3 linked regions of the Kluyveromyces lactis genome follow. The protein of the gene in region 1 interacts with the protein of each later gene in a pairwise test. Links are inferred from orthologs where the notes say so. Each region holds a gene or a part of one and is shown in the gene's direction. Other genes may lie near its edges. The genes, in order: SAS10, NOP19 and HCA4.

Region 1 (11,840 bases):
CCTAATTCAAGGTCCGAACTACGATCCGGGAATCTCTTCACCCTTGATCGATTAAGATTTCTCTTACGATTGGAGTTTTTACCTAAGGCAAATTGTGTCTTCCAGGAATAGTCTTTAGTAGAGCTGTATGGGTGATAAGATGGCTCGATTGGAGAAGCTGGTAGCTGATTTTTGCCCACTGCATTGCCTGCATTCTTGTAATCGTCAACGAAGTACATATATGACTGAAGCATTTTGTTAACACCCTCATCCGATTCGGTTTCACTATCATCCTGTTCTGCTTGGGAAAACATTCTCTTAGTTTGTTTTTTGGCCTTGGTACCTTTGTCAATTTTAGTAGCTTCAAACATTGCGTACTTACACACGTATCCCAACCCCTCCTCATAGACGGTACATTCTCTAAAAAAATCTATTATTCTTTCTGAATTCTTTGGCAGGGAGAACCATAATATGAAGGGAGTGATTATAATGCTGACTAGTTCCCTTAGTAATAATGTGATTCTCAAGTTGTAAAGCCTACAAAACTCATTTTTGATGTCCTCTGTATGATATTTCCCCTTCCATTCCTTTGGAGCGTAGTGTGTATACGACACAAGTTCCTCCAGTGTTTCCTCTGGTTTGAGAACCGTATACTCATCGTTGATAGAACTGTGACAAACTGCCCATAAAGTACCAAAAACAGTCATGTAAAATAAAACAGTTCTGTCAGGTGTAATTTCGAAGTTTAAGAAATTGTCTGGATCAAATATTGTCAGAATACCCAAGATTGCCACAAAAGAACCGGAAACAAACTGTATAAAGCTTAAGGTCAAGCTTAATAATGTATTGGGAAATTGATTGACATAATTGTCCGCTATTATCATGCTCAATCTCATTCTTTTTTGGAAAATATGATATAATTCATTGTATTCCCTAAATTTCCATTCAGCAATAGGAGTATATTGCCGAGAACCTATTGATCCTGGGGAGGTTTTGTACTCATTAAAATATCTGAAGAAGTTCAATAGAACAAAGTATGTTACTAAGAATGGGGATAAGATAATGTTCAAGAATCCAGCAAGAACAAACCTCTTCTTTAACTCCTCTCCCAGGTATTCTCTCTGGCTTTCTCTTAAGAAAGCTTGCTTTAAATAGCCCTTCTCATTGAATGCAAAACCTAAAATACAAAGATTTATGTTCCATTCGAGCGTCTTGGTAAGAGCACATGTTCTTAGTAGAGGTACTGGTAGGGATAAGTCAAGAATATTGTTATCATATAGTGCAATGACAAAATTCTCTTTGCGCATAATTCGATTAGCCACGTCATGCGCACTCAACCTGTTTTTTGCTTTGACTTCGGTAGCATTTGCTGTGATCGCATTCTGATCCTTAAGTAATACTAGTTGTTGAATCACACTTTGCCATGGAATAGTTTGTAAATCTTTATCTGATATGCTTAAAAGGTAGTTGTAAAAGTTTCGGATGTCCTTCAATGCTTTCACATCAAAATACAATTGTAGAACTTTAAGCCCTATGAAGGCGTAAAATATCCATAGAAATACCTTTGCAGTTGGAGAGATCTGTGTCTTATAACATTGTTCAATATGAATTTCTTCAAAAGTATGAGACGATGACAACCTTGAATAATCTATGCAATGGCCCATGTAAGTTGAAATGAATACCACAAACAAGATTGTAGCTAGATGAATAACCTTCTCTGTGATGATACAGTAGAATCCGTTCCCTAGGTAATATTCGTACACCTGCTGCAAAAAAGTGTCTAAATTTTCGATATTTGCCCATTTCCATAAAGCTCGTTCCTTTGGACTAAGTGAAGATAAGCTGTTCTTTGAAGTGCTTGTCAAAGTAGAAATATTGTTAAATATTGGAGGAGGTTTCAAATTGAAATGAGTTGATTTACCTGGTCCTGATTGTTCTGCGACTGATGGCTTTCGGAAGAGAAAACTCTCCTCAAGATTATTCGGCCTTCCGTTATTGCGAAACATCTTTGCAGGGCTATTCCCTAACAATCTTTCGAATACCCTGCTTTCCGAAGGGTTCTTGGTTGACTTAGTTGCTCCTGTAATGGGGTTTTTACCACCTAGATTCAGTCGTTGTCTACCTATGAAAGGTATCGTTTCGTCAGATCCTCTATTACTGTCACGATTTGATAATGGCTCCTCGTCTTCGCTGCTTGAAGGCTGTCCGTATTTCGAAACAGAGCTTGCCAAGTCTTGATCGCTGAAATCCTCTTCTTCTAAGTGCACTTCATCTTCTTCTGTACCTCCCTCATCGGGCTCTGATTCCGATTGTATTGTTGCCATCCCATCAGATGCTGTATCAAATCTTATGGATTGTGGCTGTTGTATTAGCGGCTCCTCATCATTGCTGTCCTCGTTAGATGAAGATGGTTCCTGATCGGATTCTATTAGCCTCACATTACCTTCATCCTCGGCATAGTTACTAAAATCCTGTTCCGTAGGCATAGTAATATGGCTCATCTCAGCGGCATCCAAAGAGTTTTCTACAGCAGATGAGTGCACACCAAACACTCTTGATAGAAATGTGTTCTTGGATCCACCATTTACTTTATCCTGACTATCCGTCATAACTCAGACTTCCAAAATTTTATTGATCCAAACTTTTCAAGTTGATTCAATCAACTGACTAAATACCGTGAGAGGTAAGGTTATGGTTGTAGTGTCCTTTCGATTATACCTTGTTTTGTGTTTGTTGAAGTCATTTTTAAGGGAATCCTTGTATACATGAACAAGTTTTGTAATGGAGCCCTGCATATCCAAACATCAACTCGTACTTAATGACTATTCTGATTTCAGGAATTATAACCTGAAAAGGCGATGCATCTTTATTAGGTTACTATGCAGTAGCTGCTGATTGTGTTCGCAGTGGTATTTGAATCTCCCATTCTTGATGTAGTTGTCTACATTAAATTAATGTTATCATACGAATTGATTTGCTGAGCTTTTTCTTCAACTATCATGTACATGCAGAAATCTATATAATTAGATATGTGGTGTTACAATCGCTCTTCCGTCGATTTGGCCTAGTAGCTCCGCTTCTTCTCCCTCCAAATCTAGTGTAACCACGTCTTGCAAAAATGTAGACTCTGCGCCCCTGCTGATATCCATTACGACGTCCCCGATCTTGATTGACATTTTGCCGGATCGATGCATTCTAATTGAACCAACGTTTCCGATCAAAGGCTCAGGTGAATCTATTTGTGTTTCTTTGCTGTTTTTACTATTTGATTGTTCACTTCCTTCATCTACTTTTGCTTCACCATTTGGCTTTACATCTTCTTCGGTGGATTTCACTGGGGGTTGTGGCTGAAATTCAGGTAGATTTGATGGGAACTGGAAGAACATAAACTTATTTGGAACGTCGTTAATCTTGTTTAACTTTTTGTACATATGTTTATGATCCTCAAATAACAAATTTGTTTCCCTGAGAGCTTCTGCGCTGTCAACAGATTGGAAATCTTGTTGAAGTTGAAGCAAACGCAGTTTTTCTTTTAACTGCTGTTCCTTCTCGTTCACTATGTCATTTAAAGTACCATCCGATTGTTCTGGTTCTAGCTTCACAGGTCCTGGTGTTGGTTCCCTGGTCTGCAAAGTTGACATGGATTCCTGGACAACTTTCTGTAGAGAATCCACCTTTTCGTGATTGATACGAACTGCCCTGACAGGGAAAAGATTGGCCAATTGTTTAGAGGCTCTGGTCTCTTCACTCATGGCTGCATCAGTATTAGAATCCTCATCTTCATCAAACAGATCGTCAGTTTCCTTCTTGAAGTCTGCCTCTGTATACTCTTTCCCCATGTTAATTCTCTTCCCAGCTTTTGAATCTTCTGCGTCCGATCCCTCTGCTTCATCATCAGAAACAGCTTTCAAACCGCGTTGCACAAGACTGCTTTGAGAACCCTCCGTCTTAATGAATCCATTATTCCCTTTATTAGATCCTCCAGAGAAATTACCAGCTGCCAATGGGCCTGATGTGATAATTCTTGTGTTGTTTAAATACTTCGGCTGCCTCTTCTGGTTGCCCTGTGGTTTCTGTGTATATTTCTTCTTCTCAACCTGTTTATTCGGCTCTTCTACCTTCAGAACGTTAGCATCTCGTTCCTCCTTAGATTTACGAGCTACCACTTTGGGCTTAAACTTCAGCGAGGTTCCGGTTGATGGTTTCCCCTGGTTCAATCCAGGTAAACGTCCACTCATCTTTAGTTGATTCCTATCACAATTTGATGCAAATAACTTCTTGACTCAAGCGTTTAATACTGCGATTCTCGACCGTTTCTTCGTTCAACAGCAAATCCTAATATGAAAACGAAGACTAGTTACTGGATACTAACCCTTGCATTGACTATTTGCGCATCAACTTTGCTCATCTCATTGTGATCTCTTCCAGTAGTAGTGCAGCTTTCAATTTTGGTGAAAAATCTTGAAAAAGCAATGTTGGAAAATTTTGTTTAAAGTTAAAGCTCATCTCATCTCATCTCAATTCAGAGAATAGGTATAACTAAGAGAATGACAAGCTGCATAACAGGTAACTACTATCAGCCGCTGTAATCGACTGTATATTGAGTTGGACTTAAATTGTACTGGACATTGTACTTCAAATATGGCAAAGAGAGGTGCAAAGGTCTCAAAAAGAGGGTCTAATCGTAGACAAGACCAGGAAGAAGATGTTGCCTATGGCATGAATGAGGTCGATGACTTTGCAAACAAGAGAGAAAAAGTGCTACTTGAGGACGCAGGTCTTGATCAAAGGGAACCAGAAGATGATTTTGATCTTTCAGTGGATGAAGAAGAAGAAGTGATGGGAATGTCAGATGAAGATAGTGAGGATGAAAGTGAAGAAGTTGAAGATGATGAAAGTGAACAAGAAGAATTAACAGGTGAAGCTGTGTATAAGAAGGTTTTTGGTAGGAAATTAGACGTTGGTGAGAATGCAGAAGAAGAGAGTGGTACTATGCTGGACAATGAGAACGCATGGGGTGCTTCTAAGGCAGAATACTACGGTGCCGATGACTTGGACGATGAAGAGACTGCAAGAGAGATAGAAAAGGAAGCTTTGCGCCAACAGAAGAAACATTTGGAAGACCTTCATATGGAAGACTATCTTGAGGATGAAGTTGATGAAGAATGGGTAAAAGAAGCTAAGGAATTCGATTTAGGTCAATTTAAAGATCAAAAGGATCAAGAACGTCCTACTGAAATCTCCCTTAGGGATGTTCTCAACATGGACTTAGAGAGAAAGGAAGGTTTCTTGAAGACATCCTTCCCAGAATACCTTCCTTTATCAAAGGAATTCAGTAAATTATCACCCGTTTTAGACGAGCTGAAACTCAAACAAACTGAGGAGAATAATGAATTGATTCAGATCAAAATTATGGCATTATCTTCATATCTTGGAACAATTAGTTCATATTTTGCAGTTTTCTTATATGAATTACAGAATAACGAAGATTTCATTTCTATGAAAGATCATCCGGTAATGGAGCGTATTTTGGAGTGTAAAGAAATTTGGAGACAAGCTAGCGAACTACCGGACACAGAAGCAATACGCTTTGAGCAAGACTCTGACGCTGAAGAAAATATTTCGGATATTGGTGAACTTGATGAAGAACTATTACAAGAACAGGATGAACTGGACAGTGAAGCAAGTGCCAGTGACGATGAGGCAGAAGATGAGAATGAGGACGAGGAGGGTGATATGGAAAGCGAAGAAGAAGAAAACTTTGATATCGAACTTTCGAACAGAGCTGCAAACAAAGTTCAGAAAGACAGGATATTACAAGACGTTGATGACTTTGTTGAAGATGAGATTGCAGATGTTGATGTCCAAGAAAAGAAAACAAGGAAGAAGACGTTACGTTTCTACACTTCCAAAATCGATCAAAAGGCTAGTAAGAAGACTGATAGATTCAAAGGTGATGACGATATTCCCTACAAAGAAAGACTTTACGAAAGACAACAGAGGCTACTTGAAGAAGCTAGAAAACGTGGCTTGCATGATAAAAATGCGGCAGATCTTAATACGGATGATATCAACTCGGATGATGAAAAGACTGCCAAAGACATTAAACGTGATGCCGAGAATGAATATTACAAGAGCATCAGGGCTGATAGACAACACAAGAAAGATTCCCGTCTTCAAGCACACAAAGAGGTGGCGAAAGCTGCTAAGGAAGGAAAATTGGCTGAATTGGCCGAACACATTACAGAAGATGGTAAACGTGCAATCAACTATCAAATTCTAAAGAATAAGGGTCTAACACCAAGAAGGAAGAAGGACAACAGAAATTCGCGTGTCAAAAAGAGAAAGAAGTACGAAAAAGCTCAAAAGAAGCTCAAATCTGTGCGTGCTGTCTACTCTGGTGGTCAATCTGGTGCGTATGAAGGTGAAAAGACTGGTATTAAGAAGAATCTAACGAAGTCTGTGAAATTTAAAAATTAGTACTAGATGATATTTAGTGTATCTATATACTCCATGCATTAAAAAAAAACTCGCATTATTCATTCGTGTAATATTTTGCTTTCTGAGTACTCACGAATTAGCAGCTTTGTCCAGCATCCAATATTCTTTGTAGTTTTCTCCGTATTGCATGCTGTATCTTGTCAGAATGGATGGACTCAAGATCAAGATCCCATGCTACAAACTCTTTCGCAATATCCTGGTCAATTCTAAATTGGTTCAATTCTTCGATAGTTAGTTTGCTGTAGTTCTTAGCAATGTCAAATCCATCTGCTATCTGAGTTGTAAGTTCTTGTGCTCTTTGGACAATGCTCTGCCTTAAGCCACAGTTTTTGGCACAGAATATACCAAAAGAGTTCGTGGCAATTCCGGTGCTCAATTTGTACAAAAAGGTAATCATTTCATCTCTGGCATTTCCTTTATTTTCCTTTTCCATCACCTGCAATAAAATCTCGGTTTTATAGAATACTACACCATTAATTTCACTAGTAAGGATGTTTGGACTGAAAACTTCGTTATAATGAGTAGATGCGATCACTCTAGGGCAAGACGAGCTCCTTGAAAAGTCCTTTATAATTGCTCCGAACATAGATAGGCCGTCAATCACATCTGTCCCTTTACCAAACTCATCAATCAAAAGTAAGCTTCTCGGCGTTGCCAATGACAAACACTTGGACATTTGATTTGCATCAATCTCAAATGTACTCTGCGTCTTTGCTACAGATTCCCGAGTCACTACTCTGGTCAATATTTTGTCCACGAGACCAATACGTGCATTATCAGCAGGAACGAAACAACCAATATGAGCAAGAAACACTATAAGTCCGTTCTGCGTTAAAAAAACAGATTTACCAGACGCATTAGCGCCAGTAATGACAGAAATTCTTTTGAAATTATTATTCCAAGTATCATTATCAAAAGTTCCGCCAAGCATGCGAAGGTCATTGGGGATGTATGTGTCTACAAGTGTTTCATATAAGGGGTGCCGGCCGTTTTCAATTTCAATTACACATTCCTTTTCCTCAATGACAGGCTGGACATAATTTTGGCTAATGGCGGTCTTAGCAAATGAGACTAAAACCTCGAGCTCTGCGAAACATTTTCCTGACAGCAAAATTGCTGGCTTTGTATTCAAGACTGCATTTTGTAGTTCAAGTAGGATCTCCAACTCTAAATCGGATATTATTCCATGAAGGTCACCATAGTGTTCGTCCATAACTTTCGTATCATCATTCTTGTAATATATTACATTCTGTTCTCTGAAAATTTCAGTCCAGTATAGCACAGCTGGATCGAACATATCTTCTATGGATGCATCAACACATAGTAAATAACCAAGTTGTGGTAGATATATCGCATTTATCAAAGCATTTCGTCCGTTCAATTTTTTAAAAAGCTTCTCCTCATTACTCTGCAATGTTGATATTAGTGTATTGTTTGCCTCATTTGCCACAAGATTTAAAACACCTTCAAGCTCGAAGTAAGTTCCTCTTGCCTCATCTAGTTCTATACGAACTTTATCCTTTATAACAATCGCATCTTGGTTAAGGGACCCCTCCAAATCAAGAACACTTTCGGTTTTCTTTAATATCTTCAACATCATGCTTTTATCAAGGTCATTTTTTATGGTGTTAAATAACCGGCAATTATCTGAAGAATCGTAGAGAATATGGATTAAGTTTATGATCTCGACAGTTTTGGTACAGAAAGAAATATATTTTCTCCACACTGAGAGTTTTACTGCGCCTTTGCTCATTTCATTTACAATGCTGAATATATTAGGCATGTACTTTAGAGAATTTGAAAGATCGTCGAATAATATCGCATTCTTGCCGTCAATTAGAGATCGTATCACCTTTTGTCTCTCTTCTATTAATATTTTATTAGATAGTGGACTGGCTAACCAGGATTTTAGCAATCTTTTACCAAGTTCTGAAGTAGTGTGATTGAGCAAATCAAACACAGATGAATAGCCGGTTTTTGTTATTTCACAAAAATGTCCTGGTATCTGGATGGGTTTAAAAATATGTAAAGCCGCCAGAGTATCATCATCAAGAAAGAGCCGATCCTTCAACATTAATTGTCTCACTATATTGACCTTTTCGAAAAAATTAAACATCTCACATTCGTCAAAATCAACGGCGGAGAAATGATCCATAGATTTTATCAAGCAGCTCAATGACATGGTTGTCACTTTAGCGGCTTTGTTTGTACCCAATTGGTCCAAGATCTGAAATCCTTGAATATCTATCAATTGTTGGGACTCTTGAAAGTTGTTCCAATGTTGAACAAAATATTCTACTTTAAATTTGTCATGGGACTGCATCTGCAATCTAAAACTGCGCTCGATTGACAAAAATTTGAGGTTTTCATAAATCACTTCCCCTAACCTGCTTGAACACAACACTACGCTAGGTTCATTTTCAAGTATCAAATTTTCTAGAATCAAGTTCACTTCATTCATATTTTCTGAACTTCTGGCATTAACAATAATGTCCTGATTTAGAACCGATAAAGTCTCTTGATTTATGTCCAATAGAGATATTCCAAGCTTGGACTGCTGTAGTTCCAAGCAGAATACTACTTCATTTTCCCAATTAATGCTTTGCTCATGCATGGTTTCATCTGCATATTTTTCCAATACATTTCTGTTTTCACCTTCGGCGGGTATTTCGGTAGCATTGCTATCCTGTATATTCCCAATACCTGGAATTAGTTCAGAATCGACCGACCGATCAATAAATAACGGACGTTTAGCCGTGACTGGCATTGTTGATGGTGATTGGTCTTGAATAATTGCCTGTACCGTTTCTTCCCTTCGTTTTCTTCGCTCTGTCAATAAACAGTGCAGTTTAGTTTTGAAAGTAAAACTGAATAATCTCATTCTTTTCACTTTTAAAGTAAATTTGTGCTGGAAATGAAATTTAAACGAAATATAACATTAGATAAAGAAGTGAATTGACACTTTTTCTTTGCTTTCTTTGAGTTAAGTACTATCTAGATGTGTCGGGAAGGCGTATGAGTAATGATTAGCCGCTCTCTTTTTGTCGAATTTATTTCTGTTCCAACCGACTCTCGGCCATTGAAATCCACTTCGCTACTACAAAAGCAGATTTCCTATGGCGACTCCTCGAGTACTTATCGAATATTGCTTTGTGACGTTCTGTTGCATGTCTGCATGAATCCAAAATCATTGTTGCCAACGGTATTAATTGCTCTTCTGTGTAACCGGAATAATATATGTGTTCGTCAGACCAACCTGTGAGTCCGATAATGATTTTACTCAAGTAATATGCACCTGCAGCAAGCCAAGATGGTGGCGCTGCTATTATTTCTGGCTCCATTATGGAAGTTTCCAATAAATATTTAGCCACGGTTCTTGTATCGTATTCATAATCATCCGCTTTACTAACTCTTCTTAAAAATGACATTGGACCTGGCCATCCAAATTCGAAATTTAACGTATTGATCATGAATCTTTCTGCCCTTAGAATCTCTTCTCTAGTGTATGCATTGTCCAGCATATACAGCATATCTTTCAAAGTTGGACAGTTGATCTCCTCGTATTTGGAAGCAATGAATAGAGCTGCTGCACCGACTAATTGCAACCTGTTCAAAGTGACTTGTTTCTTTGATAAAAACCTATCGATAATGTTTACCGTTAAAAATAACGTCTCAGGTAACAACTGGAACCTATCGTGGACTTGAACAATCCAATCGATCAACGTTGATCTGTATTTCCACGTTAGTTCCGGTTGATGTTCGATATACCTGGGATTCGGCGAAAATTTCCTCTCCAAAAACTTCAAATGTTCAAAAATTTCAATGGTATATTCCGATACCATAACAGGGTCCCATGTGTCCTCATCGTTAGGGTCAGGCTCCTCACGGTGTAACCTCTCATACACATATTGATATAACCTCTCTGAATGTTCCGTTACCACCGGCACTAACGGCGTAAAACTTTCATCTACGTCTTCCATTTCCTCACTTATATCTCCGCCTGTTTCTGCTTCTTCATCTTCTTTAAAAGCTAGTGCCTCACTATCAGTCTCCGCATCATCCTCATCATCTGCTTCAACCTCAATCAAATGGTGTTGTACTGTTTCGTTACTATTGCTAGACAATTGTTGCGACCGTATACTCTCAGTACTCACAGAAGAAACAAGAGTCTGTTCTCGTAGTTTTTGAGCCCGTGCTACTACTAAATCATCGTCATGACCACTAAACAAATCATTCTCCTTCGCATTCTTTACCCTTTTCTCCTTCAAGAATCCAGCATCAACAAACGCTTTCTTGCTGTCACCGTCAACACTAAACCGATTGGCCCTATTGTTAATCTGTGAAGTAACATCACCAAGTGCTACCCTTTGCTGCATTTGCATCATCAATCAAAGACGCGGACTGAAGAACAATTAAAAAAAGAACACAATAAGCACAAATCTTTATTCAAAGCCAAGTATTCAATTCCTGGATGAATATCCCTTCCTTAGTAACTAAATATGAATTCAGAAGAAAAGTAGAAAACTCGATGTTATACCAAACTAAATCGAACCGATATAAAGGTACAATGGCTCTATAACATAACGATACGACCTCTAGCAGAGAATCCAAAACTTATTTGTATCCTCCAAATTTGATATATTATGTATGAAGAGTGAAGTTTTCCTGATGAAATCTTTAAAAGAGAAAAATGTTCAAATCGAGGAAAAGTGTAAACACAAAAAAATAAAAAAAAAAGGTTCACCATACAAAAACTCTTTTGGGCAATATTTCCTTTTCTGGATATAATTACTTGTTTGGGAATTCTCTTTTTATCATGTTACACGACGCGTGTTGGACCCATTTTTGGCGTGTCGTCAATTACGTTATAGAGAAGAAGAGCTAAGAATGGAATTTTGGAAAATTAGAGCTTTAAGCTGGCTCAGTATGCATGGTCTGCCCGTGGATGGAATCAATTATCAATATTGATATACTTGCAAGTTCACAGGAGGTGATTAGTTGTATACTCTGTTGCTGGATTGCTTGCTGGTTAGGTTCCAACGTTTTGAGCTTCTAGTAAGATAAAAAATCATTGACAATGGGTATCTATAGGCCCAGAGCTGCCATTAGAAGGCTGTTCTTGGTGGTACTGATAGTAGTCGTTCTTAATGTCACCGTTTTCTTTCATGAACCGACAAAGAATTATATCGTCGATACATACCACGGTGCATTAGATACAAGCAGGCCTGATTCGCAGAGCAGTTTACCAAGCGCACCAAAGCTTGACAGAACAGATGCTAGTGATGAGTTTTTCAAGACATTATTTGCGCAGTTGGAAGGTGCAGCTCCAATGAAGAGAGAATTTGGTTGGGGTGATATTA
Region 2 (9,248 bases), on another chromosome or scaffold:
ATGCGCCATTTGTCACTTGTAGCAAACTTATCTGACGATCTAGTACATAAATTGGAGAGCAGCGACGAAAGTAACAAGGTACTGGTAAATAAAAACCCACTTCCTGCAGTACTCAAAGAAACTGTAAAACAGTACGAAGAAATAGGTGATGAGCAGCAGCGTATTGAAAATATTAGGGCGAAACTTTTCCAATACTTGGATGAGATTAAGGCGGGAAGAGCAAAATACGCTTTAGAAAACAAATATATATTGAATTCAACCCTGCAACAAATCACAAAAGAGGTTTCTGAATGGTCTCAGAGATGGACCCACATTGAAAACTCACTATTTGGTGACTCTCCAACTTCTTTAAAGAAATTGGTACAGAAGGCAGAGAACATCAAAGAGCTGTTGACCGTAGAGTCGACTGATTACCAAATGGAATAATGTATCCAGGGATCTATAAATTGATGACGTTAATAGTATAATAGAATATGTAGCAATAGCAATAAATAATGAGCGGACAACAGAGTGCCAGGTGTACTTATATTTAGCTTATGGCGTTGTTTGTGTTCGATATGCTGATTGTCAGAAATTATCACATATTGACGTTCATTATTTAAACTCAACAAAATAAAGATGAGTTGACGATGAGATACGACTTAAGTTAATTGACACATGCAACCAGGTAAAGGAACAAATGGATACCCGTAGAAAGTCAATAAGAACCGGAGCTATAGTGATGTTAGGGCGGCCAATATTTAGAAGGATATCAAGAGTCAACCGCTGCAGGTTTTTTTCAGATGTACCAGATAATGCACCTGGCGCTATTGATAATGAGATATGGCTGCAAGAGCTAGCGAGCAGCCGATCTAAGCAAAAGGCTCCAACAGCAGCCGTCGAATCAACTCAGAACTTGTCAATAAAGGAAGAGAAGAAGACTTCTGTTCAACCAATGAAGGGATTAAGGAATAAGATTACATTCAATATTATATCGACGCCGCCAGATACGCAATACATCGAAATCAAATCGCCATTGTCAAACTTCACCAAGCTATCATACCTACAAAAGAATAAGAACATACGAGTTCAACAGTCGAACTTTGTTGACTTGAGAATCATCAAGTGTGCTTCAGGTAATGGCGGTGACGGATGTATTTCGTTTTTTAGAGATAGAGGGCGCGCCATTGGTCCTCCAGATGGAGGAGACGGGGGCGGTGGTGGGTCTGTGTACGTTCAGGCCATAGAAGGAATTAACAGTCTCTCAAAACTTCAGACTACATATATCGCAGATAATGGTTCTAATGGTACTTCTGCTCAGGCAGATGGATCGAAAGGTAAAGATGTAATGATTACAGTTCCGGTCGGGACGGTGGTAACATGGTGCTTGGATCCCAAAGTTGTGAGAGAGCATGTAGACCAGAAAATTAAAGAACAGGGAGGAGGATCATTGAGAACCATATTGGACACTTCCAATATCATCTTGAATTGTACAGGCAGATTTTACATGGATCAGAAACCAAACCGTATTCAAATGTTCAGAGAATCTTACGAACCTGGAAAAGGTTGGATCTTTAAGGGTAAAGATGAAGAATATCATTTATCAAAAGACTGGTTTCAAGACCTTTCCAAAAATGTAACAGAATATGATCATAACTTACTACAAACGGAGCTTGAATCTGATAGATTCCCATTATATGGATTGGATTTGAGTAAACCAACTGAGAAACCAATCTGTTTGCTAAAGGGTGGTAAAGGGGGTCTAGGTAATATGCATTTCTTAACCAGCTTGATCAGAAACCCAAGATTTTGTAAAGAGGGTAGGAGTGGACTTCAACAACATTTTATGTTTGAATTGAAAAGTATTGCTGATCTGGGACTTGTTGGACTACCAAATGCCGGGAAATCTACTATTTTAAACCAGATTTCTAATGCTACTCCTAGAGTAGGCCATTGGGAATTCACTACGTTACACCCAACGATTGGAACAATCTCACTTGGGATTGACAAACCGAAGTTCACAGTTGCAGATATTCCGGGAATTATTAAAGATGCCTCTCAGGACAAGGGAATGGGTCTTGAATTTTTAAGACACATTGAACGTTCCAAAGGTTGGGTTTTCGTGATCAGTCTTGAAAAGGATGATCCATCTCAAGATTTACAAATACTTATTGAAGAAGTGGGTGGCAAAGAGGTTGTATCATTGAAGAATATTCTAGTGGTTTGTAATAAAGCTGATATCGATGAGAAATCTACATTTAAGAAGTATCAGAAAATCCAAGCCCAATGCCAAGAAAACAACTGGGATGTCGTACCAATAAGTGCTCTCAAAGGAGAAAATATTGATGTACTCCTGCATAAAATGGCACAATGTGCTGGTAAACTGTAGATATAACACGAATAAGCGGCACATCCTTACTGGACGTCATGCTCTACTTCTTTTTCTAAGTTCCGATGTTCGAATATTGTTCCGAAATCCAATATTTTGGGCCCCCAAAATCCCATATTGGTGCATATTTGAATGAAAAAAGAAAACGGAAAGAGTCTTTAACATGTAAAATTTCTATACAGATGCGATGAGATGTGCTTTGACCTAAAGGCTGTGGTTAGTAGGAGTAACTTGTATATAAACCTCGCCAAGAGTACCTAAGAACTATAATATCTATATTAAGAGATGTCTAATTCTGAGTTCAAGTCCTTAGGATGTTCAAAATGGTTAGTGGAAGCATTAAATGCGATGAAAATCGTGCAGCCCACTGCGATTCAAAAGGCTTGTATTCCTGAGATTTTGAAAGGGCGTGACTGTATAGGTGGTGCCAACACCGGTAGTGGTAAGACTATTGCTTTTGCAGCTCCGATGTTGACCAAATGGTCCGAGGACCCTCAAGGTATGTTTGGGATCGTCTTAACACCTACCAGAGAACTTGCGATGCAGATCGCAGAGCAGTTCACAGCATTTGGAAGTGCTATGAACATCAGAGTCGCAATAGTAGTTGGTGGTGAGAGCATAGTGCAACAAGCTATCGAATTACAGAAACGACCACATTTCATAATAGCCACACCAGGTAGATTAGCACACCATGTCCTGAATAGCGGGGAAGATACCATTGGAGGGCTAAAAAGAGTAAAATTTCTGGTACTAGATGAAGCCGATATATTATTGACGGAAACGTTCAGTAAGGACCTTGCTACATGTGTAAGTATTTTACCACCGAAAAACAAAAGACAGAATCTCCTTTTCACTGCTACTATGACAGACCAAGTGAAAGCTTTATCAGACGCTCCACAGACGGAGGGCAAACCTCCTGTGTTTACTTTTGAGGTTGAGTCTGTTGATAACGTCGCCATTCCGAAGACATTAGAGACGACATATTTGCTAGTCCCAGAGCACGTTAAAGAGTCATACTTATACCAGATATTGACCAGTGAGAAATACGTCAAATCAAGTTGCATTATTTTCGTTAATCGTACCGTAACGGCTGAAATCTTAAGAAGAACTTTGAAATCTTTAGATGTAAGAGTCACGTCACTTCATAGTCAAATGCCACAACAAGAAAGAACGAACTCTGTACAAAGATTCAGGGCACAAGCTGCGAGAGTTCTTATCGCTACTGATGTCGCTTCTAGAGGTTTGGATATCCCTATTGTTGAACTTGTTGTAAACTATGATATTCCTGGCAACCCAGATACTTTCATTCATAGAGCTGGTCGTACAGCGCGTGCCGGACGCCATGGTGAATCACTATGTTTTGTAACAGAAAAGGATATTCAAAGAGTAGAGGCAATTGAGGAAAGGATTAATAAAAAGATGGAAGAGTTCACCGATGTAGGTGATACAGCCGTGATTAGGAAGTCGTTAACTAAGGTTACAGCAGCAAAAAGAGAAAGTCTCATGGCCATGGATAAAGAAGGTTTTGGTGAAAGAAGGAAACTCCAAAAGAGAAAGAATGAATCCAAAGAAAAGACTCATAGACGTACATAAACTCACATAGTTGATAGACCTATCCACATATTCCATTTAAAAATCAGTCACGTGAATTCTGATTCTTCCTTAGAGAGTAATCACTGAAAAAAAAATGGTAACTTATTCTTTGAAGCGATGAGATCGAACCAGATGAGATGCATCGGCCGCCATAAAGGTATACTCTTACAATCTAACAAGTAATACAGACTCACCAAGCCATGTCAAGAGCTCAGGAGATAAAAGAAAAGCAAGCACTACTTGCTAAATTTCAAAATGGGTTTAGCAGTTCCACTGCTAAGGTGCTCGGATGGATAGAGGATTCTAAGACGTCATCTAATGATCTAGCAAAGGAGGATAGCAACGAATCAAAGAAGGAATTTTTCCAGTTGCCTGTCATTCAAATAGGAAGCGGTTTATCATTTGAGAACGCGCAAAGTACTGATGATACCGATATACATACCATTGGAGAGTTCATCAAAAGTGATAAGAAGGTCAGCTCTTTAGCCAAAAAGAAAAGAGCTACCAAGGACGTGCAACAGAGAAACAGTATACACAGAGTGAGGAAAGACGACTCCCAGGCTATGGTTTCGTTAAAACATAAGATAAGGAATCAGGAAAGACAGAAGATACGTAACGAGCTTCCGAGAGGCACAAATGTTTCGAAAGACCACAGTAAAAACCAATATTATACCAAATCGACTTCATCGCATTCCGACTCTTCCTCGGATGAAGAAGATATGGAACCTAAAGTACAAAAACATTCCAAGAAACAATTTGGCTTGCTATTTGCTGGAAAGAAATCCAAACGTTGAACGTGTTAATCATTCTTTATAAAGTGTAATTCTCCTGTATATAGACTAGCTTAATATGCATAGATGCATAAATCCAAGGTTCAAAGTCACGTGCAAAATTTCTTTTTCTTGAGGGTTCGCAGTCTCTTTTAAGAAAAATTTTGAGAAAGCTCATCTCATCGCATCTTGTTCTTGCACAGTCTGATAGTGCTTGAAAGCTGATTAATGTCTGCATTATAGGTATTCCAGCAAGGGCAGAAGTATCCACCGAACTCGATGAATTACACTCCGTTAGATCAGAATCACATGCAACATCAGCATGCTACAGTGCTATGTTGCAGTTGTGGTGTGCCTATGGATGGGTCCTCAGGGCTAGTTATGTGTTACGACTGTATTAAGTTGAATGTCGATATTACAGAAGGTATTCCCAGAGAGGCTAATGTTTCTTTCTGTAGAAACTGTGAGAGGTTCTTGCAACCACCAAGCCAATGGATTAGGGCTTCTTTGGAATCTCGTGAACTTTTGGCGTTGTGTTTACGTCGTTTGAAAGGCTTAAACAAAGTTCGATTAGTGGATGCATCATTTATCTGGACCGAACCTCATTCTAGACGTATCCGGGTCAAATTGACCGTTCAAGGTGAAGCTATGGCTAACACTATTATCCAGCAAACATTTGAAGTGGAATATGTGGTGATTGCCATGCAATGTCCGGACTGTGCTAGATCTTATACCACTAATACATGGAGAGCAAACGTCCAAATTAGACAAAAAGTTCCTCATAAGAGAACTTTCTTGTATTTAGAACAGTTGATTTTGAAGCACAATGCCCATGTTGACACCATTTCCATTAGTGAGGCAAAGGATGGTTTAGATTTCTTCTATTCTCAAAAGAACCATGCTGCTAAGATGTTGGATTTCTTAAATGCTGTCGTACCTATCAAATGTAAAAAATCCGAGGAGTTAATCTCTCAAGATATCCATACCGGTTCATCTACTTACAAATTCACTTTTTCCGTGGAAATTGTTCCAATTTGTAGAGATGATTTGGTTGTTTTACCTAAGAAGCTTGCCAAGTCTTTGGGTAACATCAGTCAATTTGTCATCTGTTCCAAGGTTTCTAACTCTCTCCAGTTCCTGGATCCAACCACTCTTCAAACGTGTGATTTGACTGCTCCAATGTACTGGCGTGAACCTTTCAGTGCATTAGCTGAAGTGTCCCAACTAGTTGAATTCATCATATTGGACGTTGAACCTACTGGTCAAGTTAGAAACAAATGGGTATTGGCTGACGTTACTGTCGCTAGATCTTCCGATCTAGGCTCCAATGACCAAGTCTATTACGTTAGAACACATCTTGGTGGTATTATTCATCCTGGTGACAGTGTCATGGGTTACTTTATCGCTAACTCTAACTATAACTCAGAGCTCTTCGATGGTTTAAATATTGATTACGTGCCAGACATCGTTCTAATCAAGAAACTATATCAAAGAAAGACAAAGAAGAACAGAAAATGGAAGTTGAAGAGAATGGCTAAGGAACACAAGGATATCGAAGCTTCTCAAGACTACACTTCAAGACAACAGAAACAAGAAATGGAACGTGCTGAAAGAGATTATGAGATTTTCCTACAAGAATTGGAGGAAGATGAGGAAATGAGACAAACAATCAATCTATATAAGAGCAACAAACCAGCAGAGCACGAAGGCGAGATGGAAGAAGATGAAGATGAAGATGCTCCACAAATTGATATTGATGAACTATTAGATGAGTTGGATGAGATGACTTTAGAAGATCAACAACAAGGTGAAGAAATGCTATAGAATTTGGTTTAGTCTCTTCTTGTTTGGACAATAATTACAATATATATTTACGAGATAGGCAAGTTAGTTGAATTTACTCATCATCTGCATTAGATCAATGATACAATGGCCGTCTTGTATAGTGTACACTAGTGAATATTAATAATTGGCATGTTTCAGGGTAACAATGCTTTCCTGAGTTTAGTTCATTCTTGTAAAAAAGACGTCGATTCGTAATACTACCCTGATACACTATACCCTTAACTGCAGTGCATAGATAAATAAAGTAAACCAAGAAGTACTATTCTTTCTTCATGGAACAAAACCTGAGTACCAGGAAAGATGCTTAACGATCTTAAGTTTTCACCAGCTTTTAAGTCTTTTGTTGATACCTCGTTTTTCCATGAATTATCAAGATTAAAACTTGAAGTGTTCAAGTTAGACTCTGCTGAGAAAGAATTGTTCTCTGCACTAGACCTTGAAAATATCACTTCTAACACTGTTTCACTCTCGCTTAGAGATGACAGTTTCGATCCTGTTCTCAATAATGAGGCAGTGACTTTGAAAGGGTCAGTGTTGAATTTTAATACTATCGAATCATTCAAATCCTGTGACAAAGTAAAGTTTATCAAGGAAAAGGGACAGCAATTACTAGAACAGGGCCTCAAGAATGGTCTCAAAGAGTGTGTTAGGTTTTATGTCATAAGCTTCGCCGATTTGAAGAAATATAAGTTTTATTATTGGGTTTGTATGCCTACTTTCCAGTCTGAGGGGTCATCGTACGAAATAATCTCAACAAAATCAATCGAAGATGGTGTAAAGAAGGATATATGGGAGCAGAACAGCTTTATCTCCTGTGTTGTGGATGGAAAGATTCAGGAAGCATCACCTCAGTATCTCAAAGTATGTCAGAAAGTCATCTTCAAGGACTTCAGTCGGCTGAAGGGCATTCCTGCCGCAGTTACTAAGAACTTTCTAACGGTTTGGAGTCAAATATCCACAAGGAATACGTACACCATATGTTTCCTTCGTGATGATAATTCCAGCTTCGCGGCAGAGATCAGAGTTACCGGGAGCAATACAGGATGTCTTAAGGTCAGCGGTTGGGAGAAAAATGGTCTTGGAAAATTAGCTCCGAAATCGGCTGACTTAAGCTCATTGATGGATCCCGTGAAGATAGCAGAACAATCCATTGATCTCAATCTCAAGCTAATGAAATGGAGGATTGCTCCTGACATTGATCTAGAAAGAATAAAGAACATTAAAGCATTGATCTTGGGGTCAGGTACCCTAGGTTGCTACGTGGCTAGAGCTTTATTAGCTTGGGGTACTCGTCATGTAACTTTTGTCGACAACAGCACTGTCTCTTTCTCTAATCCGGTAAGGCAACCATTATTCAACTTTGAAGATTGTGGGCGACCAAAGGCCGAAGCTGCCAGTGACTCTCTGAAGAAGATATTTCCTTCTGTCGTTTCTGCAGGTTATCAATTGGAAATACCAATGATAGGACATCCTGTATCGAACGAAAGCAAGCAGAGGAAGGATTATGAAATTTTGGACGAGCTTATAAGGACGCATGATGTTATATTTCTTTTAATGGATGCACGCGAGACGAGATGGCTTCCCTCGGTGCTTGGACGAATGCATGAAAAAATAGTTATTAATGCGGCCCTTGGTTTTGACAGTTATTTGGTAATGAGACATGGCAACAATAATGACAACCTGGGTTGCTATTTCTGTAACGATATCGTGGCCCCAAGTGATTCTCTAACTGACAGAACATTAGATCAGATGTGTACTGTAACTAGACCGGGTGTTGCCCTATTAGCGGCTTCCCAGGCTGTTGAATTATTGGTGACATATCTTCAGCCTTCGACGAACGTGCTTGGGTCAGCTCCGCATCAAATACGAGGATTTCTAAATGAATTTAAAACTGTAAAACTTGAAACACCGGCATATCAGCACTGTTGTGCAAGCAATGAAAATGTCATTTTAACTCTAAAGGAAAACGGATGGAATTTCGTGAAACAGGCGCTAGATGATTATAAGTGTGTGGAGCAATTAAGTGGACTGTCGAAGGTGCAAGAGGAGGCTGAATTGGCAATTCAAGAAGATATTTCCTTTGATGACGACGAGGAATTGTCAATAGAGTGAAGTATAGCCAGTGCATCTGACAGGCTGATGCGTGGAATGATGTGACATGCATTCCTTTTGTGATGAAGCGTAGAAATCGATATTCGTCGTTAGGAAAAGGTGTTTATCTCTGATTTAACGGTCAGGATGAAATTTAGTTTTATAATTCCCAAGATAAATATAAGTCTTGCACAATTTGCAGCGTATTACGCCATGACGGGCTTGGTACACCTACATAACTGGGCCTTTTTCCGTGATCCATCAGCTTATACCAGGCATGTTTTAGATGTAGACTAAACTCGTTATCCGACTGTGGTGTACGGATGTATAAATCAACTTGAAAAATTACCAAAGCATACAAGAACGGGAATATATATTAGGTCGAGTAGACAGGATAAATAGTCACACGTAGACAAGATAAATAGTCACACGTAGACAAGAAGCTAAGCACCAAATGCCACCGAAGAGACGCCACCATGGTGCTGGAAGAGTCCAGAATAAGAGGGGAAAAGTTGACACTGTAAAAGAGGAAATCAAACCCAAAGATGAGCCTGTGGAAACTGAAATCGATGGCGGATCTG
Region 3 (11,840 bases), on another chromosome or scaffold:
AAGAAAAGATGGCTTCATTCAAGGAATCCGTGGAACCAATTTTGGCTAAGGCTTCTGCATCTCAAGGCTCTACTTCAGGAGAGGGATTCGAAGATGAAGATGACGACGACTATTTTGATGACGAATTATAATCACCTTCAATACTCCGAAAACAATGGGAGACTATAAACTCAACTGAAAGAAAAAAAATAACGAATTCAACAATGCTTGTTTTCTTCCGTCCTGCGAATGAAGTCACATCCGAAAGCAAAACTTTAGTTTACTTTGCAATCTTTCAATTTCCAAATCTGTATTGTCTTGCGCATGTCATTTCTATATTTGACAAGCTCTGATGCTGACCCGTATGTCTGGAACAACACAACTGCGGAAAGTTCCATTGACTTGTACGCAACGAGAAGAATAAAGCAGCAAAAAAAAAAAAAAGAAAAAGTTCTTGTTTAACATATTTAAAACGAGTCCAACTACCTCTTCCATTCTCTAGCATACATCGATATTGATTTATCTTTTTCTCACATAGTTTTGTAATGTATAGAAATTACATTTCCGATTTTATAAAATACAAATAATATAAGGTTTCAAGAAATCGATTCTCAAGAAGGACTTGTACATGAAAAATACAAAAGAATAGATCATACGGCTAGGAAAATGAGCTCATAATCTGAATCATTTGGATCTTCAGATACGTGTATAATATCAGAGCTCTTTAACTCGATATACCGGGCGCTAGGAACGGCTGAATCATTCAAACACGTACCGTTGGAAGAATCAAGATCAATCAAGTATGGAATTAAAGATTCACCGACTTGTCGGAATTGTACGGCACAATGTTCTTTCGAACAGCTTTCCTCTTGGATTGGGATATCAGCAAGAATAATTTCCTCTCCATCAGATTCGAAGCGTCGTAGACTCTGACCTAATCCTCTACCGATAATATAGCAACTTTTATCATGCAACTTAGTTTTACTTACTTCACCCTTGACGCCCTTCCTATACACAACAAGCTCATAACGAATTTGATCCCACTTAGGTACTTTTAGCTTTTTATAGAAATCGTGGGGTGATATCGCATCTTTGGGCTCTACATGCTTAAGTTGTATGCCTTTTTTCTGGTGGCTTTCCAGTTCCAATAATCCTGATGGCTCAAATATAGGCAAGATTACTTTTTTTTGGGCACCTTCATAGCGGCTTCTTTTCGTTTCGTGATCGTATCGATATCTGCTACCTTCACGTTTGATGCTCATTCTTTTGGCGCCGTTGCTTCCATAGATGACGGTATATTCCATATATCTTACATATTTATTCCATATATTGTGCAATTCACAATATAAGGTTCATCTGTCATTTCATCGCTTTTCATGTTGTAGGAAAAAAGAAATAGAAAAGAAAATTTTTGGTAAATAGAAGAGCTCATCTCATCTCATCTCATCTAGATAGAGGTTCGAACCTCAACCTCAAGGAAAAGTAGTTTACTTTGTCTTTGAGCGGTATCATTAATCGACCTATAGAGAAGTTGATTAAAGTAGCAAACTGGTGCATTTAATCATTTAACTAAACGTTTAATCAACTGTGCCAATATAACTTATAATTGGTTTGCAAAGAGCATTTAAAGATGGCCAAGAAACAAAAGCATAATACCCAGCAGCGTAAGCTGATTCGTGAAAGAGACAGCCAGAAGATCAAAGATCTTGAAACTAAGGTTGAAGAATATAACCCGAAAATTGCTAAGGCTAATTTGTTTCAAGATTTACCCATTAGTGAACAAACTCTAAAAGGGTTGAAAGAAGCAGCATTTATCAAATTAACCGAGATTCAGCGCGAGTCCATACCTCTCTCCTTGAAAGGCCACGATGTATTAGGCGCTGCCAAGACAGGTTCTGGTAAGACTCTAGCATTTTTGATCCCTGTTATCGAAAAGTTATACAGAGAGAAGTGGACAGACATGGATGGGCTAGGTGCATTGATCATCTCCCCAACAAGAGAATTGGCCATGCAAATATATGAAGTGTTAAGTAAAATTGGTAAGCACACTACCTTCTCCGCCGGTTTGGTTATTGGTGGTAAAGATGTTACTTTTGAGAAAGAGAGAATTTCGAGAATTAACATTCTAATAGGAACACCAGGCAGAATCTTACAGCATATGGATCAAGCCGTTGGATTCAATACTTCAAATTTACAGTTGTTAGTACTCGATGAAGCCGACAGATGTCTAGATATGGGTTTCAAGAGAACCCTTGATGCCATTATTAATAATTTGCCTGCTTCAAGACAAACACTTTTGTTTTCAGCTACTCAATCACAAAGTTTGGATGACTTGGCTAGATTATCTTTGACAGATTACAAACAGGTAGGAACGATGGAAGTTTTAAATGCTAATAGTTCATCTGCGACTCCAGAATCTTTACAGCAGTCATATATCGAAGTGCCACTACCTGACAAACTTGACATTCTGTTCAGTTTCATAAAATCGCATTTAAAGTCTAAGTTAATTGTGTTTCTATCAAGCTCTAAACAGGTGCATTTTGTTTATGAAACTTTCAGGAAATTACAACCTGGTATATCTTTGATGCACTTGCATGGTAGACAAAAGCAAACGGCGAGAACTGAGACGCTGGATAAGTTCAGCAGAGCGCAACATGTCTGTCTATTCTCAACTGATGTGGTTGCTAGAGGTATTGATTTCCCATCTGTTGATTGGGTGATCCAGGTTGATTGTCCTGAGGATGTCGATACATATATCCACAGAGTTGGAAGAGCAGCCAGATTCGGTAAAGAAGGTAAGTCACTCATTATGTTAACACCAGAGGAAGAGGAGGGATTCTTGAAAAGATTAAAAACTAAAAACATTGAGCCCAGTAGACTAAATATCAAACAATCAAAAAAGAAATCTATCAAACCTCAGTTACAATCACTCCTTTTCAAAGATCCCGAATTGAAATATCTAGGCCAAAAGGCTTTCATTTCTTATGTTAGATCGATATACATTCAAAAAGACAAAGAAGTCTTCCATTTCGACAAAATACCATTGGAACAATTTGCTAACTCTTTAGGTTTACCAGGTGCTCCAAAGATCAAGATGAGGGGAATGAAATCGATAGAGAAGGCAAAGGAGTTGAAAAATACATCAAGACAGCTCCTAACCCTAGCAAAGGCAAATGATGAAGGTGATGTGATTAAAGAAAACAAACCTGAAGTGAGGACCAGATATGACAAGATGTTCGAACGGAAAAACCAAACTGTGCTAAGTGAGCACTATCTGAATGTCACCAAAGCACAAGCTCATGATGATGAGGATGAAGATTTCATCATGGTTAAACGTCAAGACCATGAGTTGAATGAAGCTGAATTACCTGAACTTCTTGTTCCAACATCTAAGAGAGCCCAAAAGAAAGCATTATCAAGGAAGGCAACATTAGCATCTAATGGTAACCCAACCAAAGTCAAATTTGACGATGATGGTAAAGCTCATCCTGTTTACGAATTAGAAGATGAACAAGATTTCCGTCAAAATGGTAACTCAGAGAAGCAAAAAGAAGAGTTCTTGTCTAAGGAGGCAGAGCTTATGGCAAAGGTTGATGTAGAAGATAAACAGGTTGCAAAAGAGAAAAGGCAAGAAAAGAAACGTAAGAGACTAGAAGCAATGAGAAAAGAAATGGAAGCTGATATGGAGGATAGTGATTATGAGGATGAACCAGTAGCATACCTTGGAACTGGGAACCTAAGTGACGATATGCAATCTGGAGCTGACACTGAAGACGATTCTCAAGATGAAAGGCAACCAAGAAAAAAGAGCAAATATGCTGATTCCAGTGAAGATGAGGAAGAGGAAGAAAGAACTACTGAACGTGATAGAATTATCGAAGTGGAAGAGCCACAGACTCTTGAAGATTTGGAATCTCTAACAGCAAATTTGATTGGATCTTAGATTCATCAACTGCTTGACTTATTTAATCATGTATAAAAATAGACGATAACCTTGCATTCCAATAATAGGATAACATCTCCCTTTTAGGATTACGACAATACACTTGAATAATTTATTGCCTCATCAAAGTAGCTCTGGCATTTACCGACTTGCTTCGTGATTCAAAGCATTTCACCCACAGACCTTCCAAAGATCAAAACGTTTAAAATGACATGTTACTTGAAGGGAAATTTCATTCAAAAAGTTTTGTTTTAAACCTGTTCTGCGAATGAAAAATTAAAATGAAATAAGAATAGCTTTTGTATGTGTAGTATTATAGAAAGAAGCAAAAGTTGTCGTTTCTAAACGATAAGAGTTCTATTCTATCCAAAGTTGGTGTCAAATATAAGAAAACCCCAATATACCTGTATTAGATAGGCTGTGATTAGTGAGGGTAGAATTTCGTGGGTTTTAGTTCCAATTACTACTCTGCAATGTCGAATCAAAGTGACTTAATTTTATCCAGACCGTATCTTACTAAATCACAACTACAGAAATCCCAGAAATATAACATTCCTGATCGCCGAACATATAACCAAAAGAGGATATTGGTGTTCAAATATTTATGCCAATTATGTGTTCACCTCAAATTACCAAGGAAAGTTTTGGAAGCGACAATGTACTTTTATCACAGATATCATGCATTCAATAAATTCGAGACCGAAATGTGTTATGATGTTGGAACGAGTTGTTTATTTTTAAGTTGTAAACAGGTTGAAACGTTTAAGAGATTAGGGGAGGTGTGCAGTACGGCATTAAAGATTCGTAATGTACCTCGTGTAACGCCGGATATGGTTGATGCTTTTAAAAAGAGAGTGATGCAAATGGAGCTACGAGTATTAGAAACTTGCTCCTTTGATTACAGAGTCAACAACGAAGTGCACATAGATGAGTTTATAGTCAAAATTGGCCGTGAACTCTCATTACCTTACAGCTGTTGTCGACTGGCATGGCTTATAGCCTTCGATGTATTAAAACTCGAATTGCTCATTACCGTCCCACCTCATACCATAGCATTGGCGGTATTGAAACTTGCATGTGAACTACTTAATGAAACAAAATGGCCCAATGTTCGATATAATTTATTTGAAACGGATGCGGCTTCTTTTCATGAAGCGTATTTCGATATTCTAAATTTTTATATCAATGTCTTCGATGCATGTGATTTAAAAGACCATGAAACTGTCAAATCTTTAAACCTAAAGATTGAAACATTCATTGAAATAAAAAAGACCGCTGGCCCTGAGCAGGGACTAAAGGTTGATCCAATAGCATTAGATAAAGACGATTACGTGTCAAAGGAACGGAACTTTGCTGTGAAAGAAAGAAGATATGTTTTGAACCAGAACTCTCTTCAAGAAGAATCGATATCTACCAAAAAAAGATCTATCAGTGAGGTTGAATGAGATCTTCATATTCATGTAATAATACAATCATTTCATAGAGCTCTTATTTGGTATAAATACCTATTTTTCCTCAAGGGATCGATAATTATCAACTTATCAAGATATTCTCTAGATTTTGATTTTATATCTTCCTTGAGGATATCTTTTTGAATGAACTCAATCACAAGTAGTGTCTTTAGACACCAAATATTATCCTTTCCAGAGAAACTAATATCATCATCGTTTATAAGTTCAATGATCTCGGTTAGTTCTTTTAGCATACTGCTATACTTTTCTGACGTCATATGCTCTTTTAGTGCACTCTCTTTAATAAACCAGATCAGATACGTCCAGACAGATTGATCTTCAGCATCAGTGAACATGGCATTCTTTATGTACTGAAATTCATCGTCGATGAAGGACTCTTTGTCAGCTATTTGATCTCTCGCCAGCATATGTTCAATTATATTCGTTCGTTGGAACCACGCGCTAAAGTTAGAGATATTTTGATTTATTTTCGCGGTTGTGTATTCAAACTCTTGTGAATTTAGACAGTTTCCGCTTAAGCGTTCTACTGTGCTTACGATGTATCTTCTGTAATGCCATCCATGGAAATTTCTCGCATCCATTTCCAGTAATTTGCCAACAATGGCTAATTCTTTCAACCAGATTTTCAAGGGAGAATTAGGATAATGCTCTAAACACCAAACCCTGTGATTCCATATCCAGTATACTTTTGGACGAACCTTCAATTTGTCCATAGTGAAAGCAAGTTCCCCATCCCAGAAAGTTTGATCCAGTGATGGGGCAAGTAGTTTTATAATTTCACGTCTATAATTCCAGATGGTGTTGAATTCTGGATTGATATTAAGTAACTGGGTAGTCTTCAGAAGAGAGTCCTTGTTTGCTACTCTTTTATTCTTCAATTCTAAAACCTCATCTGATAATTCTCGATAATCGAGGATTTCCTGTCTCTCCTTCTCGCGCTTCTTCCTTAATAACTCCTTTGTCCACTCTCTTCGTGTAACACCATGCTGAATTCATTTCAATTTGTAAATGTTAGTAATCTGCAATTGTATATTATGAGAATCTTCTTTGAAAAGAGTGCCGAGGTCTGCCATACCATTATTTGTCCTCGAGTCTCTGTGGAATTGAGTTTAACGTTCTGATTTGCTGTTCATCATAATCATAACTTATAAGTTTGAATGTTAATTATAAAAAATAGTAGTTTAAAATGAGCTCAATAACATATGTTTTTTGAACTTGCTTCGACGAACAAGGATTCAGAAGAGACTGGAAAGTAAAATTGGAAACATGGATTTGATATCATTAAAAGGTTCGACACGAATTGTTACTGAGTTCTTTGAATATAGTATAAATTCAATATTATATCAACGAGCAGTATACCCGGCAGAAGACTTCGCTACAGTTAAGAAGTATGATTTGAGCTTATTAAAAACACAAGATACAGAACTTAAACAATACATACGGGAAATTCTCCGGCAGGTTCATAGGTGGTTATTGGGAGGTAAATGTCACCAGCTTGTTCTGTGTATAGTAGATAAGGATGATGGTGAAACAATTGAAAGATGGAAGTTTAACGTAGATTCTCACAGCAACAAGAACGATACTGATGATGATATGAACATTCCATTAGAGGAAACCCAAAAGGAGATTCGGGCAGTACTTAGACAGATAACAGCCAGTGTCACTTTCTTGCCCGAATTGAAAAATGAAGGTAACTATACTTTCAATGTTTTGGCCTATACTGATAGTAATGCGAATGTTCCACTAGAATGGACAGATTCTGATTCAAAAGAAATAGCGAAGGGGGAATCTGTGCAATTCAAGTCTTTCGGTACATCGGCCTATTCAGTGGGAGCTGAAGTCACTTATAAGTTCTAACAAAATTAATGGCTGAACTTATTGCATTTCCTTTTAATACTTATGCTACAAATAGGAACAAGATATAGTAGAAAAGGCACATAATACTTAATTCAACTCGAGAAAGCTCATACTAATTCAATCATCTTGGTGTCTTTTCCAAACTTCTATCCAAATCTTGAGATGTTCAATTAGCTTTTGTCTTAAGAGTCCTTCGCATTCTTCCTGCATAAATGGGAAAAGGTTGGACAATAAGCACGTTTTGAACAACTTTAATTTTGACACGGCTGCCATATCAACCCTCAACTCTTCTTTAACTCTAAGAAGAGCAGTAAAATCGAGTTTAATGTTGTCTGACTCTGCTGCTATTTGGATTATATCCTGAATTATTGCTATTTCATTTGCTAGATTTACGGTGTATCCATTATCCAATTTGACTGAGAGATATGTCAGCCTATCATAAAGCGGTTCGGCCACAAACTCAGGTATATCAAGTTCTTTTACTATTTGAAACTCTTTGCGCTCTTCAGCTAATTCATCAAAAATATCGTAAACTTGTTTTGGGTCAAACGTATCATTCAAATCGGTTCTGATCAATTCCACAGGAAACATCAGAGCAAAATGTGATTCACCAACAACATCTATAAACATATCAATTTCCTTAAACTCAGCATCTGTAAGCGTGCTTTCAGCTATAGTGAAAAAAATCATTATGTAGAAGAATGGAATCATTGCATGAGGATACCAGGTCTGATTTCAAAATAAAGTCGATAGCCGAACCAACTTGTGCGGCACATTTTGTCATATAATCAGATATATTGTAAGTGCTCAGGTTAACTGATATATCTTAATATTCATAAGTAAATAATATCTTCGAGTTTTCTGTGTCATTTTGACTTGACGCATTGACATGCCTCGAAAATGTTAAAAAAAGCCTATTTAAACTGATAAATCTGCTACAGAGGTAAAGGTAGTATTACAAGTAGTGTTGCTGTTTCGTTGGTCAAACTGCGTGTGGAAGCTTCTCTACAGAAGCAGTTAGCCCTTCTTGAAAAAAAAACTGGAGTTTGACATAAGGTTTTTTATCTCATTCAATTTATGTCCAGGAATCTTAGGGGATGGAGACCCAGTGGGTGGACTAGGGGAGGACTGTATAGCTACGGATAAATCAGGACGTGGAACAGGTTTAATCTTGAGGTCTTCCTCCAAAAATGTTTTCCATGATGGATCTGATACCCTCGATAGATTGTAAATAAAGTTTTGTAGTTCTCTAGGGTTGAAAATAAGGTCATCTGGTTTCATCGGTTGAGTATCATCATCTGATTGTTGAAATTCTGACCATACTCTTTTCCAAAGTGCCAAATCCCAAGGTACACCTTTTAGCGCTAGTATAAATGCCCAGAAATTTGAGTTTGTATTCTGACTTGCGGTTATTGCATAATAGGTTTCCAAGTATGTTGTATCAGGGTCAATAGGAGAGACAAGTAACTTTAAAAGATGCATTAGTTTTTCCACATTACTATCTATGTGTTTCGTGACTCTTTTAGCTGATGTGTCATGTTGCGGTAAACTTTCCGGAAGTGAATGCAACGTTGTCTTCAATAGTTGAACGTCTAACAATAATTGTTCTGCGATATTTATCACTTGCTTCACATCGAACTGTCTTTTCGAATTAAGAGTGCCATATGGTAAAGCTGGTTTCAAGAGCTTTATAATTTGAGATTCAAAAGAGATAGCTATTAAATCAATAGTTTTATCAATAAAATTCCAACCATAAAGATCTCTATTGAATTGAGAAACAGTGGAGTAAAATGTTGAATTTTCCGATCTTGTTGGTAGGAGGATACTCTGTAAGGTAGTCACATATCTGCTGTAATCTTCCACCATTGTATTAGCCCAATTTGTGTTTGTGAACTCCCTCCATACAAATTCCAAATCTTTCTTCAGGATGCGATTTAGTAGTAAATTGATACCACCCGATACGAGATCCATGTATTTTTGCCTTGTAGGTTCAAAAATGGCTGCAACTTTGTTGATATTTGGCTCATCATTCTCAAGATATTCACAGAGTTTATCTTGCAATTGATCAATTGTATTTGCGCAATAGTCTGCTGTATTGACAAGAAGAACGGTATATTTCACTACTTCATTCTTATCATCGATTTGTGTATCCTCAGGTAACAACAATGGTTTCAAAATCTTTTCATAATATTCATTCAACCATTTGACGAAGAAAACCGCCAATTCCACCATTATGGTCGATTTATTACCGCCTTCTATCAAGCTGAAAGTTTGAGAAAGAATGTGTCTATAAGTTCTAAACAAGTCTGCACTGGATGGAACGACAAGCGATTCATTTTTAGCTGGGAGCTTGGTCTCATTAAGATATGTCAACATCTTGGCGTTCAAAGATGAATCTTGGTGTCTAACCCATAATTTCAAATATGGCTCAAAGCAAGTGGATATTTTACCCTCGTATATATGGGAAAACTTCACTGATATGTATTTTTCAAACTCTAAGGTAGTTTGTAACGATTGCATGAATAGGTCAATGGAGGTGGTACCGGACAAATCTCTCTTCAATAATGTTTTCAAATCGTTAGACGTCATTGTGAAGAAAGAATCCGTTAGTTTCAAAGGTATCTCCCATTCTGATGGGAAATATTCGCTGAAAGTAGACTGGAAATTATTTAATACTTTTTTGAAGAAGATGTAACGTCTAGACAAATTCTCCAAAGAACCAGCTTCATCATCAATTTGGAAGATTTCTTTAATTTCATACAATAGAGAATCCAAACACAATTGCACAATCCTTTCTTTATAATGCTTATTAGTGTCCGCAAGGCAACATATACCGTCTTTCATCGTTTTGCTGTCATATTTACTGTTAGACCCATCCCTAAGCACTTCTTTCGTTACTCTCTCACACACCAATAGTGTATCACTCTCTAAACGATGAATTTGATTTAGAAACTTACAAAACTCATCCAAAGATTTATATTCGTGGAAAGATACAGATAAGGAATGCATAACTTTAAAGGGGCCGCACATTTCAATGTATTTTTCAGCTTGCATGTACTTTTTAGAGTTCACGTATGCATCACTCAAGATCTTCAAATTTTCAAAGCACGTCATCGATCTCGTTATATTCCTCTTAGCGTTATCCAAATCTGAAATATCATGTGTCAAGTCGGATATGGTTGCTTCAGTAATCTGTGACAGAGACTTCGTTGAATTTATCTTCTCAAACAACTTGTGGAAATCATAATTGTCTTCTAAACTATTGACTTCTGAACTGGTGTTATTGCTTTCTCGTACCCGCTCCTCTAAATTAAATTTACATTTTTCGGTTAATAGCACTAGGTTATCAATATCTGATAAAGATTCCTGCTTCGAGAATATCTGTTGAAGATCGTGTAAGGGATCGTATTCCAAAGATTCTGAAATCATTACTTGTTAAGTTCTAGTTATTCAATTCAAATTAATGTGCGTGATACTAATACAGGAAACAATAATGGGGAGGAGCTGGATAGAGAAGGGAGAATTATACCTCTGCAACTTACAATTGCTGGCTCTTTTTGTCATTTACTGATGATACAACAAAGGTTCTTGTTATATTTGTTTCTGTATGCAATAATTACTATGAAAGTCTGATATCAGAAATATCGAAAAAAAATACAAAGTCTTTAAAAGGTGAATTGACAGTTCCAAACCCTTTAACTATGAAAAAAATAATGCTCCAGGGGAGGTTCGAACTCTCGACCTTCAGATTATGAGACTGACGCTCTTCCGACTGAGCTACTGAAGCAATTCCTTTGAGTAGCTTCATTGACACTGTACATATACCAGAACGATGTAATCTTCGCACTGCATAATATATTATTGCTCAACGAGTTACAGTGTGTAGCCAACGATGCTGCTCTTACAAACATATGTTTTGCATATGGCAGAACAACAGAGTAAGTGCCTTCCTGAGCTATATATTGAAATGGTTTGATTTGCCAGGATCAGCGAAGTTTTAAGATACATAACTCTATTCTGCTATGATTATTCCTAGGATGTTGACGTGGATGCATCCATCACCCAGCTACATACCTATTCTTTAGAGTAAGATGATAGTACTTTCAGATCTCCAGAAACACACATGTACACATGCCTTATTCAGACACTTTGTCCCTAGTAACTATTGGCTAAAGCATTCCCATATTTTCTGCATATCTCTCAATACTGAAAAAAAAAAATGCTAAAGTATCTTTTAACAACATAGTTGAAATATAGAAAACAGTGCGTGAACAAAGGTGGCGAAGACGAAACTTGTACGTGGAAAAGCTATACCTTGGAAGGAAAGCAGATAATTCACAAATCCTTGAAAAGCAGCATGTCTTTGAAACTTCCTCAAAATCCTAATGCGGGATTGTTCAAGCAAGGGTACAATTCGTACTCTAATGCTGATGGTCAAATCAATAAATCGATCGCTGCCATTAGAGAGATTCACCAGATGTGTTTAACTTCTATGGGGCCATGCGGCAGAAACAAGATCATCATTAATCATTTGGGAAAGCACATTGTGACCAACGATGCTGCTACCATGCTAAGGGAATTAGAGATTG

Evidence for each region.
Region 2: the proteins of SAS10 (region 1) and NOP19 interact in binary tests that used the Saccharomyces cerevisiae proteins (3 or more experiments, as listed by UniProt). The link is inferred for Kluyveromyces lactis from reciprocal best matches to the Saccharomyces cerevisiae genes SAS10 and NOP19.
Region 3: the proteins of SAS10 (region 1) and HCA4 interact in binary tests that used the Saccharomyces cerevisiae proteins (3 or more experiments, as listed by UniProt). The link is inferred for Kluyveromyces lactis from reciprocal best matches to the Saccharomyces cerevisiae genes SAS10 and HCA4.

The regions. Positions count from the first base shown.
Region 1 is NC_006039.1:1,430,445-1,442,284, forward strand, and holds SAS10 (rRNA-processing protein SAS10), read left to right. Parts: upstream 1-4,620; coding exon 4,621-6,459; downstream 6,460-11,840. Other genes in the region: autophagy protein ATG9, read right to left, coding at 1-2,588; RPC53 (DNA-directed RNA polymerase III subunit C53), read right to left, coding at 3,003-4,217; MutS family protein MSH5, read right to left, coding at 6,557-9,361; KLLA0_C16445g (cyclin family protein), read right to left, coding at 9,531-10,865; KLLA0_C16467g (alpha-mannosyltransferase), read left to right, coding at 11,558-11,840. UniProt on the Saccharomyces cerevisiae protein: Primarily required at the G2/M phase. Essential for viability: involved in nucleolar processing of pre-18S ribosomal RNA as part of the ribosomal small subunit (SSU) processome.
Region 2 is NC_006037.1:456,880-466,127, reverse strand, and holds NOP19 (Nop19p), read left to right. Parts: upstream 1-4,161; coding exon 4,162-4,755; downstream 4,756-9,248. Other genes in the region: THP2 (Thp2p), read left to right, coding at 1-426; putative GTPase MTG2, read left to right, coding at 680-2,368; ATP-dependent RNA helicase DBP8, read left to right, coding at 2,654-3,961; ribosome-binding protein NMD3, read left to right, coding at 5,011-6,555; ATG7 (Atg7p), read left to right, coding at 6,877-8,688; histone acetyltransferase GCN5, read left to right, coding at 9,122-9,248.
Region 3 is NC_006040.1:793,865-805,704, reverse strand, and holds HCA4 (RNA-dependent ATPase HCA4), read left to right. Parts: upstream 1-1,609; coding exon 1,610-3,922; downstream 3,923-11,840. Other genes in the region: PML1 (Pml1p), read right to left, coding at 630-1,283; CTK2 (Ctk2p), read left to right, coding at 4,396-5,367; Rab geranylgeranyltransferase BET4, read right to left, coding at 5,400-6,380, 6,470-6,472; spindle checkpoint protein MAD2, read left to right, coding at 6,661-7,251; KLLA0_D09416g (uncharacterized protein), read right to left, coding at 7,369-7,962; VPS53 (Vps53p), read right to left, coding at 8,269-10,680; chaperonin-containing T-complex subunit CCT8, read left to right, coding at 11,609-11,840. UniProt on the Saccharomyces cerevisiae protein: ATP-dependent RNA helicase required for ribosome biogenesis. Involved in the release of U14 snoRNA in pre-ribosomal complexes. Required for pre-rRNA cleavage at site A2.